Linked DNA regions of Oryctolagus cuniculus. The protein of the gene in region 3 binds, or shares a complex with, the protein of the main gene of each other region. Links are inferred from orthologs where the notes say so. Each region holds a gene or a part of one and is shown on either strand. Other genes may lie near its edges. The genes, in order: SNCA, NAA25 and NAA20.

Region 1 (3,683 bases), on a different chromosome or scaffold from region 3:
AAGGATTTTTATGTTGGAACTTTAGAGATTAGCCACAAATGATTGGCGTTTCCAACAAAGAGGCATTCCAAGATGCACAGTTAACATAAAGCATCCATTCTTTGTGAAATGTCATTGTTCCTTTTGGCATTTACCACATCGCTCATTTCATTAGTGCTCTTCCAGAAACTGAAACAGTCGTGATGACTGTACAATTTGCATGGCATTTCTCGGTGTTCATACCCTAAATACAAGCTCCATATGAAAGAAGTACTTTTTTCTGAGGAGAATCAGGCAGTACTCCCCCCACGGCAGTCATCTTGTTTCTGAGTTTCGCCTCCTTTGAGAATGAGCCATGATCTTGCGATAGTTTAAATATAACATCAAACTCACACAACATACCTTGCCTTGCTGGTCTTTTTTGACGAAGCCGGTGGCGGCTGCAATGCTCCCCGCTCCTTCCACTGTCTTCTGGGCGACTGCTGTCACACCTGTCACCACTGCCTCTCCAACATTTGTCACTTGCTCTTTGGTCTTCTCAGCCACTGGGGTGAATGAAAAGCAATAGCAGATTAAAGACAGCAGCAACTTTATAAAATTCTACTTCCACTAACAGTCAACTTCCATTCAGCCTGTATTTTTTTCTTTTTTTTTTTTAAGATTTTTTTTTTATTTGACAGATAGAGTTAGACAGTGAAGGAGAGAGACAGAGAGAAAGGTCTTCCTTCTGTTGGTTCACCCCCTAAATGGCTGCTGCACCGATTCAAAGTTAGGAGCCAGGTGCTTCTTCCTGGTCTCCCATGTGGGTGCAGAGGCCCAAGCACCTGGGTCATCCTCCACTGCCCTCCCGGGCCACAGCAGAGAGCTGGACTGGAAGAGGAGCAACCAGGACTAGAAACCGGCACCCATCTGGGATGCCAGCGCCACAGGCGGAGTATTAACCAAGTGAGCCATAGTGTAAGCCCCAGTTCAGCCTGTATTTACACAGGCTTTAGGCAATTGAAGGATCACAGGAAATAGTAGCTACCAAGATTTCTAAGTGAGAGGGATTACTCAAAATCTGCATCTTCACTGACATCTTGTTATAATCACACAGACTTTAGAAGGTGCCTCCTCTTTAATGATCACAAGTGTAGGCCCACAAGCAGCTTGGGTTTGACTTATTTTTAGGAAAGTTGCAGAAAGTAGCACTTCCAAAGTCAGATATAGTGGAATCAGACTCAGCAAGAAATTTATTTCTTTATTTCAATTTCAGGGCCGATTCTTCTATCTCAATCAGCAAGTTCATTTTCAGCAGATTGCTGAGCAACATGACACATTCTACCTACAGGTTGAGCATCCCTAATCTGAAAATTCAAAATTCTCCAAAATCTGAAACATTTGGAGTGCTAACATGATGGCACAAGGGGAAAATTCCACACCATGAGACTTTGTTTCATGTACAAAATTATTTAAAACACTGTATAAAATAGCCTCCAGGCCAGTCATATACGGTATATGTGATACTCAAATCATGTGTATAGACTTGGGTCTCATTCCCAAAATATCTTATTTGGTATATGCAAATATACCATAATTCCCCCCACCGAAACAAAAGAAATCCAAGATCCAAAACACTTCCAAACCTAACTATTTTAGATAAGGGAGACTCCAACTGTTTTTGTGCTCATACATGTTACTATCAAAATGCACAATGGCAGAGGAATGGTTAAGAAGGAATTCTGAACCTTTTATAAAATTTCAGTTTGTGAAACAGAAAGGTTCTTAATTATAAGATTGTCAGTAATTTTAATGGGAACAAAGCATCTAGATTTTAAGTTAATATGAAAATTAAGAGGCTTATTGAACATATAATTCACTTCCATAAAACAAAATATGATATAATAATTCAGTATATTTCTAAAACCAATTAAAAATTTAGAGAAGATGGTGTAAATAATGTAAATTTATAATCTAGAGATTTAATTTCTTATCAAAAACTCCCAAAGACATCCTAGAAATGTACCTGCTTGTGGAATCAAGTTTTCTATATTATTTCAATATAATTATATAAAGAAAGCCCAAATAAAATTTTAATTTCAATTAACTAAAAAGTTGTATGCAACCAAATATAAAAGATTCTATGCTGTTAATAATTCAATACAGGGGGCCGCAGCACATGGTGCAGTGGGTTAATCCTCTGCCTGCGGCACCGGCATCCCATATGGGCACCAGTTCTAGTCCCCGCTGCTTCTCTTCCAATCCAGCTCTCTGCTATGTCCTGGGAGAGCAGTGGAGGATGGCCCAAGTGCTTGGGCCCCTGCACCTGCATGGGAGACCAAGAAGAAGCAGTGCAGCTCCGGCCATTGCGGCCAGTTGGAGAGTGAACCAACGGAGGGAAGACCTTTCTCTCTGTCTCTTCCTCTCACTGTTTGTAACTCTACCTCTCAAATAAATAAATAAATAAAAATAATAATTCAATACAGAAATAAAACCATCCATTTCCATCCAACCTGCTATAACATCCATCCATGCCATGAAGCCTTTGGTCCTGCATCTCTTATTTGTCTACAGAATCTCTGCCCTCTTTCCTTCTGCTCCCACAAACTCATTCCTGTTCTGCTTTTTCCCCCAACATTCAGGAATTTGGGGTTTTGAGGGATTCATTCATTAGGCACTCCATTAAGAATAAAGCCATATTTTCATGTTTCACCATCCTTATATCCTCCTGGTGAGCCTCTCTCTGAGAAACATCTCCAAATGCTACTCGCGTGATCCTTTTCAGATCTTACACCACTAGTTTGGGGCGTCAATAATTAAACAGTGGCACAAGGCAATTTGTTTTCAAGTAGAGTGTTTGGGTCAAGAAAGCAAGGGTGGTGAGTAAGGACTCTCATCCAGGCACTGTAGGGAAGGGTGAAGCAGCCACACAGTCTAAAATCAACGAACCCACAGCAGGTGTTGTTCTCAGTCTGCCTTTTGCCCAGAATTCTGCAGGTTTGCCTAGTGACGTTGTGCCACTGAACATACTAATGTCTCTGAAGGAGTAACAGCTATTTACAATTCAAAGTTCAATTTAAATGCCAGTGAAAAGCTGTACTGGAAAATTTATGTTTTTAAACATTTCTGGAGTGTTGATCTTTTAAAAATGGTGAATTATGTATTTCAAGTTGTCATTTTTTCCTTTTTTAAGAACATGAACAGAAAGTTTTGCTTGAAATGAACATTTTCTTGTTATAAATCTCCCAGTAAGAAAAAAACAGATTTTGGTTTTTTTACAAACTCATAGTTTCTCTGCCCTTCATGAATTTTACAAAATCTAGGCAATCCTTTAGATAGAAACTTTTATCTATTATTTTAATGCATCCAAACTATACAGTAAAGTGTATTTGTTATGTAATTGCAACTCATGAGGCTTTGTGGCTGTAATGATACATAATTTAGGTATATTATAAAATGACAGCATATACAGGCGGCAATAATAGACATATGTACTAAGATTTCTTTAGGACTGACTTTGCTAGTATGTTCCCTGTTGCCTGTGAGCCTCCTTTTTATACCTTTGAGAACTTTCAGACTGTTTCCCTTTTCCCTGCTCATCAACACTCCAAAGAGGGATAAAACAAAAGCTAAGAAGACACATTCAAGTACATTTTGGATATAACAAATGGCAATTATTTTTAAGATAAAAGACTTTCTAATGAGGGTCAAAGGGAGACACTACT
Region 2 (4,155 bases), on a different chromosome or scaffold from region 3:
ATCTGTTTCTATTCTAAGGAAAAGAAAATGGAGATTACCGTAGTTTGTATTCCATCAGTTTGTCAGAATGAAGAGACGATGCATGTAAAAGAGATTAGCAGAGTTTGGACATAGTAGGTGGTTAGTAAATGCCCAGTATTAGTAGTTACTATTATCATTACAGGTTTTCTCTAGATATGTGTATATTTAAAATTTTAATATAGGGGCCAGCGCCGTGGCTCACTTGGTTAATCCTCCACCTGCAGCGCCAGCATCCCATATGGACACCGGGTTCTAGTCCCGGTTGCTCCTCTTCCAGTCCAGCTCTCTGCTGTGGCCTGAGAGTGCCGTGGAGGATGGCCCAAGTGCTTGGTCCCTGCACCCACATGCGAGACCAGGGAGAGGCACCTGGCTCCTGGCTTCGGATCGGCGCAGCTCCGGCAGTGGCGGCCATTTGGTGAGTGAACCAATAGGAGGACCTTTCTCTCTCTGTCTATAACTCTGTCAAATAAAAAAAAAATCAATAGCAATTGCTAACTTGCCCTTCTGCTGGGTTGTAAAGGGTTGAATCTAGAACCCTTAATTACTACTTCTCAAAGATTGAATTAGAATCTCTGTGGATAAAGCCGCAGGAAACTCATGTTTATTAAGTTTCCCGGGGTGGGGTGGGGTCTAAGAGTCTAATGTCCACTTGGAGAATCGCTTTCTTGGACATCAGGGCCCAGGAAGGGAAGAGGGGACACAGCAGAAGGGTCATCCCAGGGGACACTGGGGTTGGTCTGACACAATGCTCTGATTGTACTCGCAGAGACCTGGGCTAGCATCAGCCAACAGCGCAGTCCGAGGCGTGACACCTGCCGGGCCCCCTCTCACTTCCTGTGACTCTCCGACAACTGTCACTTTCTCAGGCTTTCTCTCACCACACTATTTCACTGTAGCTTTTCTCACCCTGTAACACACTGCGCCGAGTTATCCGTCCGTTCCTGCACAGCTCAAGCTCCAGGAAGGTTTGATCTCATTTCTCGGTGCGTCCTCCCTACCTGCCTGCAACAGTGCGCGCAGAAACCAGCCTTGGATGAACTCATTCACCCGTCAGAGGGTAGCTGACTGCACTATCTGCCCTCAGGCCCGTTATAAACATTGACAGAACCCACGGAGAGACCTGCGGCAGTGTCCAGGCACACACTGAATTATATTCACGTTGGGGGCTTCCCGGTCGGCCCGGCAGAGAGGTGGAAGGTTCTCGAACTTTCCAGCAGATTCTGCGGATCCCTCCTTCCCTGCCCCCCCCCCCCCCCCAGGAGTTCCCTGTTCCTCAACAGTTAAGCAAAGCCACGTTTGACTGGTTCTTCAGGACTGAGAATAAACAGGCCAAGCAGGGGCGGCGGAGCCCTACTTCTAACCGGGAGCTTCCTCCTTTCCGCTCCTCACGCCCCCGGAGGTGACCGGGAAGGGAACGCATTAGCCACAACCATCTCCGCTCGCCGCCTTCCCGCACCAGCAAAAAGACGGGAACCGCAGCCAAGCAAGCGGCGACCGACGGAGGGGTGGGGCCAGCTTCCCCTTCCGCGCAGGCGCATTCAGTCGCAACACCACGACTATCGCGATAGACGCGCGAGATCGACGCTGGCCCTTTAACTGCCCCTTCCCGGGGGCCTGCCCCGCGCGTGCGCACTGCGGTTCTGCGCTTGTCATCATGGCGACGCGGGGCCATGTGCAGGACCCTAACGACAGGCGCCTCCGGCCCATTTACGGTGAGTGCCTGGGGCCAGCCTGGTCGCCGGCCCGACGCTCCAAGGGCTTCTGAGGCCGGGGCGAAGGCCCAGGAGGGGTGCTGGAAGCCTGCGCGCGGGGCGGGCGGGCACCAGGGGCGGGCCGCGCGGGCCTCTAGGCCGCAGCCGCGGGCCTCGCGTAGGCGCCGGGCCGGACTTCCTGAGCCGTGAGATGGTAGCGGCGCGGCGGGGGCTACTGCTGGGCCACGGAGCCGGCCTGAGAGGCAGGCCCGGTAGGGCGCGGAATCTTGGCGCTGCCGGTCGGCCGCGTTGTGATGGCCGCTCCCAGAGAGAGACTGTAGAGATCTCGCAGGTGGAAGCCGACCCTGGCGCTGCGGGGGAGCCTAACCGTTCAAGACTTCTGTTATTTGTGGGGAACGGGTCTGGTCAGGGCTGCCTGACTGGAGGGGCTCGGATGCACACGGAGCAGCCGCGACCCAGAGACGGGAAGGGGCTGGCGCAAGGTCACCCAGACGGAGGCAGGAGCAGGCCGCAGGATTCCAGGCTCCCCATCCAGGGCTGGTTCGTGGGGAAGCAGCTGCCCGGGGCACACGTGGGAGGCTGGGGTGGGGGGAGGGGGTCACGAACCCAAAATAGCGGCGGGGAGACGGCGGTGAGCCCTGCCGGAGGGGCGGCCCGCTGCTGGGAGACGAGCTGAGCCAACCCCCTGCACCCGGCGCCTGTCTTCAACCCGCCGCCTGTCATTCTGCTACCCTGGCCGTGGAGAATTGCAGAGTTGACTACGGGAGAAATGCACTTTTTTTTTTTTCAGTAGCCGAAACTGGACAATGAAAAATGGCCCCTATTGCATTTCCCTTTCTTTCTAGTTGGTTGTGTGGTCTCGGTGAACGGTGAGAAGGCGTCTAGGTCAGTGGTTTTTGCAAAAAGTAGGCTTTGCGTCTGTAGTAGTGTGGATGTTCCTAAAGGGAGGCTTCTCCACAGGACTGAGGTGTGCGTGTGCGCGGTGGAATAGGTGGGTAGTTTTATGGTCAGGCTTTTTATTTCATCATTTTTTATTTGATAATTTGCATGATACTCTGACTTCTCGTCTGGTTCTGTGTGCAGCAGTCCTGTGAAACCAGTACTAACAGTCACTGCTGGAGTGTGTAGAGCCCTCCTGCCAGTCTGTCCTAACCTTTTATAGAGGTACCTCACTCACTCTTCCCACGTGTACCGCGCATCTGGTGAGAAGCTTACTGTTGCTGCTTGTGTTTGCAGCATTTCTCTCTCTCACACACACACACTGCCCCCCCCCCCCCCCCCATTTTGCTGATGAGGAAACTGGGACTTTTTTGATGTTACGTAATTTGTCCAAGGCCACTCAGCGTGCATTTCTTGGAGCTCGGACTTGAAGTCCTGCGTGGGTCCCAGGCTCGCCCTCTTAGCCGCTGGAGCTGCAGGTCCTGGTTGGCCTAGGCTCTCACAGGTGGTGCTGGCAGAGTGGGACCCAGATTTCCATTCCCCAGGGCTGACGCTCGCACGCTCTTGCCCTCCAGCGGGTGTTTGCAGAGGGCAGAGCTGAGACCTGCAGGATGATGGTGGAAGGTGAGAGCTGAATGCGGTGCGTGAGACTTGCCCCTTCGTGTGGCAGCTGCCTGCAGGCTCTTTCCTGCCCTCCCCTCTGTCCTTTCTTTCTTTTTTCCTTTTTTTTTTAACTAAAAAGGCTGAATACTATTAAGAATAATTAGATTTTTTTTAAATTGTTCTCAAGGACCAAAGAGAATGCCTTTGGTTCCCACAGTCATTTAGAATTAATAGCATTTTGAACTGTGCCATAAGAAACACATGTCCATTTCACATTGCCGAACATCAGGATAAGTTAACCAGAAGTGACCCGTCATATTCTGGAAAGTGAACTCAGAATTATGCAGCTTTTGTTAGGGCTACATGGGAAGAGGATTAGAAGAGGCTTTCTTCAGGAATTCTAAGGTGATTAATGTAAACCGGCAGGAACAGGAAAAGTCAGGGTACAACACTCTTTTACCACAGCACTTTTGACTCTAAAGCTTCCGAATTTTGTTGTTTAAAATACATTACTGCTACGAAACAATTATTGTTCCTTGAATTCAGACATTCACTAAGCTGACAAGCGTGCCTCACCAGCCAGAAGTTCAACTGCCAGCATTGAGTACTTACTTGTGGGATAGCTGTCCTTCTAAGTAGGTGGGATTATTGTGGTCCTGGTAGGAAACTGAAGCCTGGAGGGATTACTTTCTCAGGATCATAGCTAAGCTAGGAGGCAGACACCGACATTCCCATTGGAGAACCCAGCCTGCACCAAGTTCAGACTTAGCACTGATATCCTTTTTAAATTTTTTTTTTTTTTTAAGATTTATTTACTTGAAAGTGTTATGGAAAGAAGTAGAGAGAGAGAGAGGTCTTCCATCCGCTGGTTCACTCCCCA
Region 3 (4,408 bases):
TGTGCTTGCTGCTCCTGCATCTTCAATGTCCCTTTCCTAGAAGTGTGTAAACACGACGCACACAGCAGCAGCAGCGTGGAGCACACCCCCCCCCCCCACGCCACCTGAAACGCTCTCGTCACTCAGCCCCCCACATCCCACCTCACCTGTGGGCCACACTGCGATCCTGGATGGCCAAGGGAGCCACGCTCCATCATGGACATCACCCAGCTTCCCAGTCACCTAGGTAGTCACGACCTCCCATCCCCCAATTCTCTCTCTAGTCCAGGCCTAAACTTGACCCCTCCTCCTGGGTGTCCCCTCACATGCCCACAGTCCACTGCAGCCACGCAGGTCACTGCTGCCCGTACAGCTCCCCTGCCCCTGCGTGCACGGGACTCACCCACTCCTTCTGGTCCGTCTGCATTGACGCCTTCCCTGGACACCCAGTGCAAAGCTCAATGCCCACTCCCTTCCAGGGTCCCTTCTTCTCTCTGCGCAACACTACGTTCTACATGTTGTATTTACTGCTTCCCTTCTAAAATGCATGTTCCATAGAGACACCAGTGTTCTTCTGTTTTGTTCACTGCATCTCTATACTGGCCGACAGTAGGCACTCAAATACTTTCCCCAAAGTCCGTGTTTGTTAGGTGAACTGCAGCGTTCTACAGGCGCTGCTTCAAGTCTTCCTCGGACACTAATTTCAGTGACTCTGAGTTTCCCACCACAATGCCCTAATCCACGCAACAGGAGCCAGCGGGGAGGAAGTGAGGGTCTCCCGCGGGCCTATGACGGAGACCTGAACAAAGAGAATGATCTCGGAAGCCCCACGTTGGGCTCTGCTGTGGTTTCCTTCCACGTTACCTGTGTCACGTCACACCCTTCCACCCCTTCCCGCAGCGCCAAGCTGCACCCTGTCCGCTCGCTCCCAGGCTGCCCCTCCCAAACACAAGCTCTTTTCAGGCCACCACCTGTGCGCTGCTGCCCGGGCCAACTCCTCTGCTCCGCTCACAGTCACAGAGCTGCTGCTGGGAATGAAGTTAGCCCCCAAAGCCGCAGTTCTCAGCCAAGCATTTGCAGTTCCAAAATATCCCTTGTGACCAGGGACCAACTCTTTAAGAACCACCTGCCCCTTTGATCGGATGCCTTCATCACTGGGTGTGTGATTCCCGCTGACTGTTACGGCTGGTAAGCTCCTGCAGACCAGTACTGCTGTAGCAGGAATGCTTAACAATGTTGCAACCGAAAGAATACAATAAACACTTTGATTTTGTGGTGCAGCCACTTAAACCCAGCTGCTTCGCTTCTGATCCAGCTCCCTGCTAGTGCACCTGGCAGATGGAAGATAGCACTCTCTGTCTCTCCCTCTAACTCTGCCTTTCAAATAAGTGAATAGATTTTTTTAAAGGTTTATTTTTTTATTTGAGAGGCAGAGTTACAGATAGAGAGGAAGAGTCAGAGAGAGAGGGAGGTCTTCCATCCCCTGGTTGCCTCCCCAAATGGCCACAATGGCGAAGCCAGGAACTTCTTCCAGGTCTCCCACGTGGGTGTAGGGGCCCAAGGACTTGGGCCATCTTCTACTGCTTTCCCAGGCCATAGCAGAGAGCTGGATCGGAAATGGAGCAGCTGGGTCTCAAACCAGTGCCCATAGGGGATGCCGGCGCCACAGGATGCTTAACCTACTACGTACACCAAGGCGCCAGCCCCCAATAATCTTTTTAAAACAGTATTCTGACTTTGTGATTCTTTAAAAAAAAAAAAAAAAAAGGCTACCAGGATTAATTGCTGACTCCACCCACTCCCATCTCAGGGCCGGCTCACCTGCACGCCGGGGTTCACTCATTCACAGAATGCGATGACAGACAGCACGTCTCAGGGTAGCGGGACTTAAACGGGTTATCACCGGAGCACTCATAACAGGTGCAGGGGCGGCGAGCGCGCAATGCGAGCCTCCTGGGCTGGGCCCCGGTCAGGGCTTACAAAGGAGTCTCCCCGCAAGGCCGAGTGGAAGCCTCTTGACCATAGGGCCGAGCCGTGTCACCCTGCTCTCCCGGGCTGCTCTGTCCCAGGAACCACACCCGCATTCGCACCGACCGCGCACCTCTCCCCGCACGCACCGCCTCCGCCCTTCGGCGCTGCTCCTGGCTACCTCGTCCCCAAGTCCCCTTGACCCGGGACCTGCTGCCCCGCAAGTCAGACACGGCACGGGGGCCAGGACGGCGAAATGGGACAATAAAGTCAACTTTCCCAACTGCCCGGACAACTCCAAAATAAACAGTGCCTGCGAGTCACGGGGCCTGCCTGGTCTCCGCACCCCGCGCAAATGCCCGCTCATCGGGCTGTACAGGAGAGAAGGGGGACGAGGCCGCCGCTCCGGGCTGCGTAGCCACAGCAGCCGGGCGCGAGCGGCGGCCGCCCGGGCACCCAGCCCGCAGGCTCCCACGGCCCCAGAGCTGCCTCGCTCGCGACCCGGGCCCTCCACGAGCCAGCTAGCGGCGGGCGCCCCGCAGCCGCGCCCCCAGAGCACGCAGCGCCCGGGGCCTCGGCCAAGATCGCAGCCCCGGGCCCACCCGGCCTCCGACACCGCGGCCCCCGGGGCTGCGCCCGGCCAGCAGCGGGCGGCCCAGGACGCGCCGCACTCACATGTTGTTGAAGCGGAAGAGGTCGTCGCAGGTGAAAGCCCGGAGCGTGGTCATGTCGCCGCCGCCACCCCAACTCCTGCCGAAACCGGCTCGCTTCGACCCTGCGCCCACTCCACCGGAAAGCACCCCGCGCACGGCCACGGCGGGTCAACGGAGGGGAACTGCTTCCGGGTCACGAGTCTCTCAGCCACACTGCGAAGACACAGCGCTCTCTGGCGGCCGACGTCTGGTATTACCGGGACATTCCTTTAACGTCGCGGGCAGCGGGTCATGGCTAACAGTATAGGCAACACAGGTGTAGAGACTCAGACGGAAGCAGAGCCACCTGCTTGGAAGATTCTTTTCCCTCACCCTCTCTCTAGATAACCAGTGGAGTGGTCTTGGCGGACAGAAATCAAATAACTCATCCAGGTGAAACCGGCACTGCAAGACACGCAGGTCTCCAACTCCCCTGGGTCCCAAGCTGCACCACGTGGGGCCAACTTACTAACCAGACAGGAGGCACAGGCTTAACAGGAGGATGAGAACCCAGGTGGTTGAGAAAAAGGAGCCTCCCCACCCCCAATCACAAGGACCTTCCGAGGCCCAAGCTGAGTTCTAGGTGTGGTTTCCAACCCCAACAATGCATGAGCATAAATCAGGTGTAGCAATAGTCCCGGAGAGCCCCAAGTTCAGGTCCACAGGTAGCACAAACGTGACCACTGCCTGCCACACGTTTAAAAAGAGGCTTTTAAAAATATTTATTTATTTATTTGAAAGGCAGAGTTTCCGAGAGGCAGAGAGAGAGATCTTCTATCCAATGGTTCACTCCCCAGATGGTCACAACGGCCAGAGCTGTGCTGATCAGAAGCCAGGAGCCAGGAGCTTCCTCTGGGTCTCCCGTGTGGGTGCAAGGGCCCAAGGACTTGGGCCATCTTCTACTGTTTTCCCAGGCCATAGCAGAGAGCCGGATTGGAAGTGGAGCAGCTGGGACTCAAACCAGCACCCATCAGGGATGCTGGCACTGCAGGCAGCAGCTTTACTGGCTATGCTACAGTGCCGGCCCAAAGATTATTTATTTATTTGAGAGGTAGAGCTCCAGAGAGAGGGAGAGACAGAGAGAGAGATCTTCCATCCACTGGTTCACTCCTTCAAAAGGCTGCAATGGCTGGGGCTGGGTGGGTTCATCTGAAGCCAGGAGTTTCTTCCGGGTCTTCCGGGTGCAGGGGCTCAAGCACTTGGGCCTTCCTCCACTGCTTTCTGAGGCACATTAGCAGGGAGCTGGATCAGAAGTGGAGCAGCCAGGACTCAAACCAGTGCCCATGCTGGCATCTCCGGTGGCAGATTTCCCTGATGCACCACAGCAGCAGTCTCGCTGGTGGCTTTCTGTACAAACTGAACATGGAACTACCAGTCAAGTCTCACTCCTGGGCATTTATCCCAGAGAAGAGAAAGCTACGTTCACACAAAAACCCATACAGTCCTGGGTAAGTAGCGTCAGAAGCTTGGGCGCCATATTTCAGGCATAGGACTGTCTGGAAAAGGCAGAGTTACAGGGAGAGAAAACAGAAGGGTGATGGCCTGGGGCTGGGTTAGGGGAGCACACGGAGACCGATGCAGGGGTGGGAAGGGAGGTAGAGGGGAGATACATTAAGCAGGGGTGGCTTCCTGACCCCATGTGTCCCGTGTCTGTCCAAGCACCTGGACTGCAAACTACAAGGAGGGAATTTTACTGCCTGTCAGTTCTACCTGAATCAACCTGACTTTAAAACAAAAAGAATCGGTTCAGCTTTCTCCCACGCAGCCAT

The links.
Region 1: the proteins of NAA20 (region 3) and SNCA are in contact, whole or in part, in a cryo-EM structure (PDB 7STX), measured with the Homo sapiens proteins. The link is inferred for Oryctolagus cuniculus from reciprocal best matches to the Homo sapiens genes NAA20 and SNCA. Residues at the interface, in NP_057184.1 of Homo sapiens: Leu23, Thr24, Glu25, Tyr27, His73, Val74, Thr75, Ala76, Leu77, Ser78, Leu110, Phe111, Tyr137, Tyr138, Ser139, Ala140; in NP_000336.1 of Homo sapiens: Met1, Asp2, Val3, Phe4.
Region 2: the proteins of NAA20 (region 3) and NAA25 are in contact, whole or in part, in a cryo-EM structure (PDB 7STX), measured with the Homo sapiens proteins. The link is inferred for Oryctolagus cuniculus from reciprocal best matches to the Homo sapiens genes NAA20 and NAA25. Residues at the interface, in NP_057184.1 of Homo sapiens: Thr2, Thr3, Leu4, Arg5, Thr8, Cys9, Asp10, Leu12, Phe13, Phe15, Asn16, Asn19, Leu20, Pro22, Leu23, Thr26, Tyr27, Gly28, Ile29, Pro30, Leu33, Gln34, Leu36, Ala37, His38, Pro40, Glu41, Pro49, Glu52, Met54; in NP_079229.2 of Homo sapiens: Ser226, Glu227, Ile228, Asn259, Asp261, Asp262, Trp263, Gln264, Arg318, Arg321, Leu325, Lys362, Pro363, Cys364, Thr367, Asp368, Val371, Leu457, Thr459, Glu460, Leu461, Ser504, Ala506, Leu510, Leu532, Asp533, Lys535, His536, Ile537, Gln538.

What each region holds. Positions count from the first base shown.
Region 1 is NC_091439.1:75,768,227-75,771,909, reverse strand, and holds part of SNCA (alpha-synuclein), read right to left. Parts: intron 525-3,683; coding exon 382-524; intron 1-381. UniProt on the Homo sapiens protein: Neuronal protein that plays several roles in synaptic activity such as regulation of synaptic vesicle trafficking and subsequent neurotransmitter release.
Region 2 is NC_091452.1:9,430,802-9,434,956, reverse strand, and holds the start of NAA25 (N-alpha-acetyltransferase 25, NatB auxiliary subunit), read left to right. Parts: upstream 1-1,279; 5' UTR 1,280-1,675; coding exon 1,676-1,733; intron 1,734-4,155. UniProt on the Homo sapiens protein: Non-catalytic subunit of the NatB complex which catalyzes acetylation of the N-terminal methionine residues of peptides beginning with Met-Asp, Met-Glu, Met-Asn and Met-Gln. May play a role in normal cell-cycle progression.
Region 3 is NC_091442.1:44,638,325-44,642,732, reverse strand, and holds the start of NAA20 (N-alpha-acetyltransferase 20), read right to left. Parts: upstream 2,891-4,408; 5' UTR 2,676-2,890; coding exon 2,623-2,675; intron 1-2,622. UniProt on the Homo sapiens protein: Catalytic subunit of the NatB complex which catalyzes acetylation of the N-terminal methionine residues of peptides beginning with Met-Asp, Met-Glu, Met-Asn and Met-Gln. Proteins with cell cycle functions are overrepresented in the pool of NatB substrates.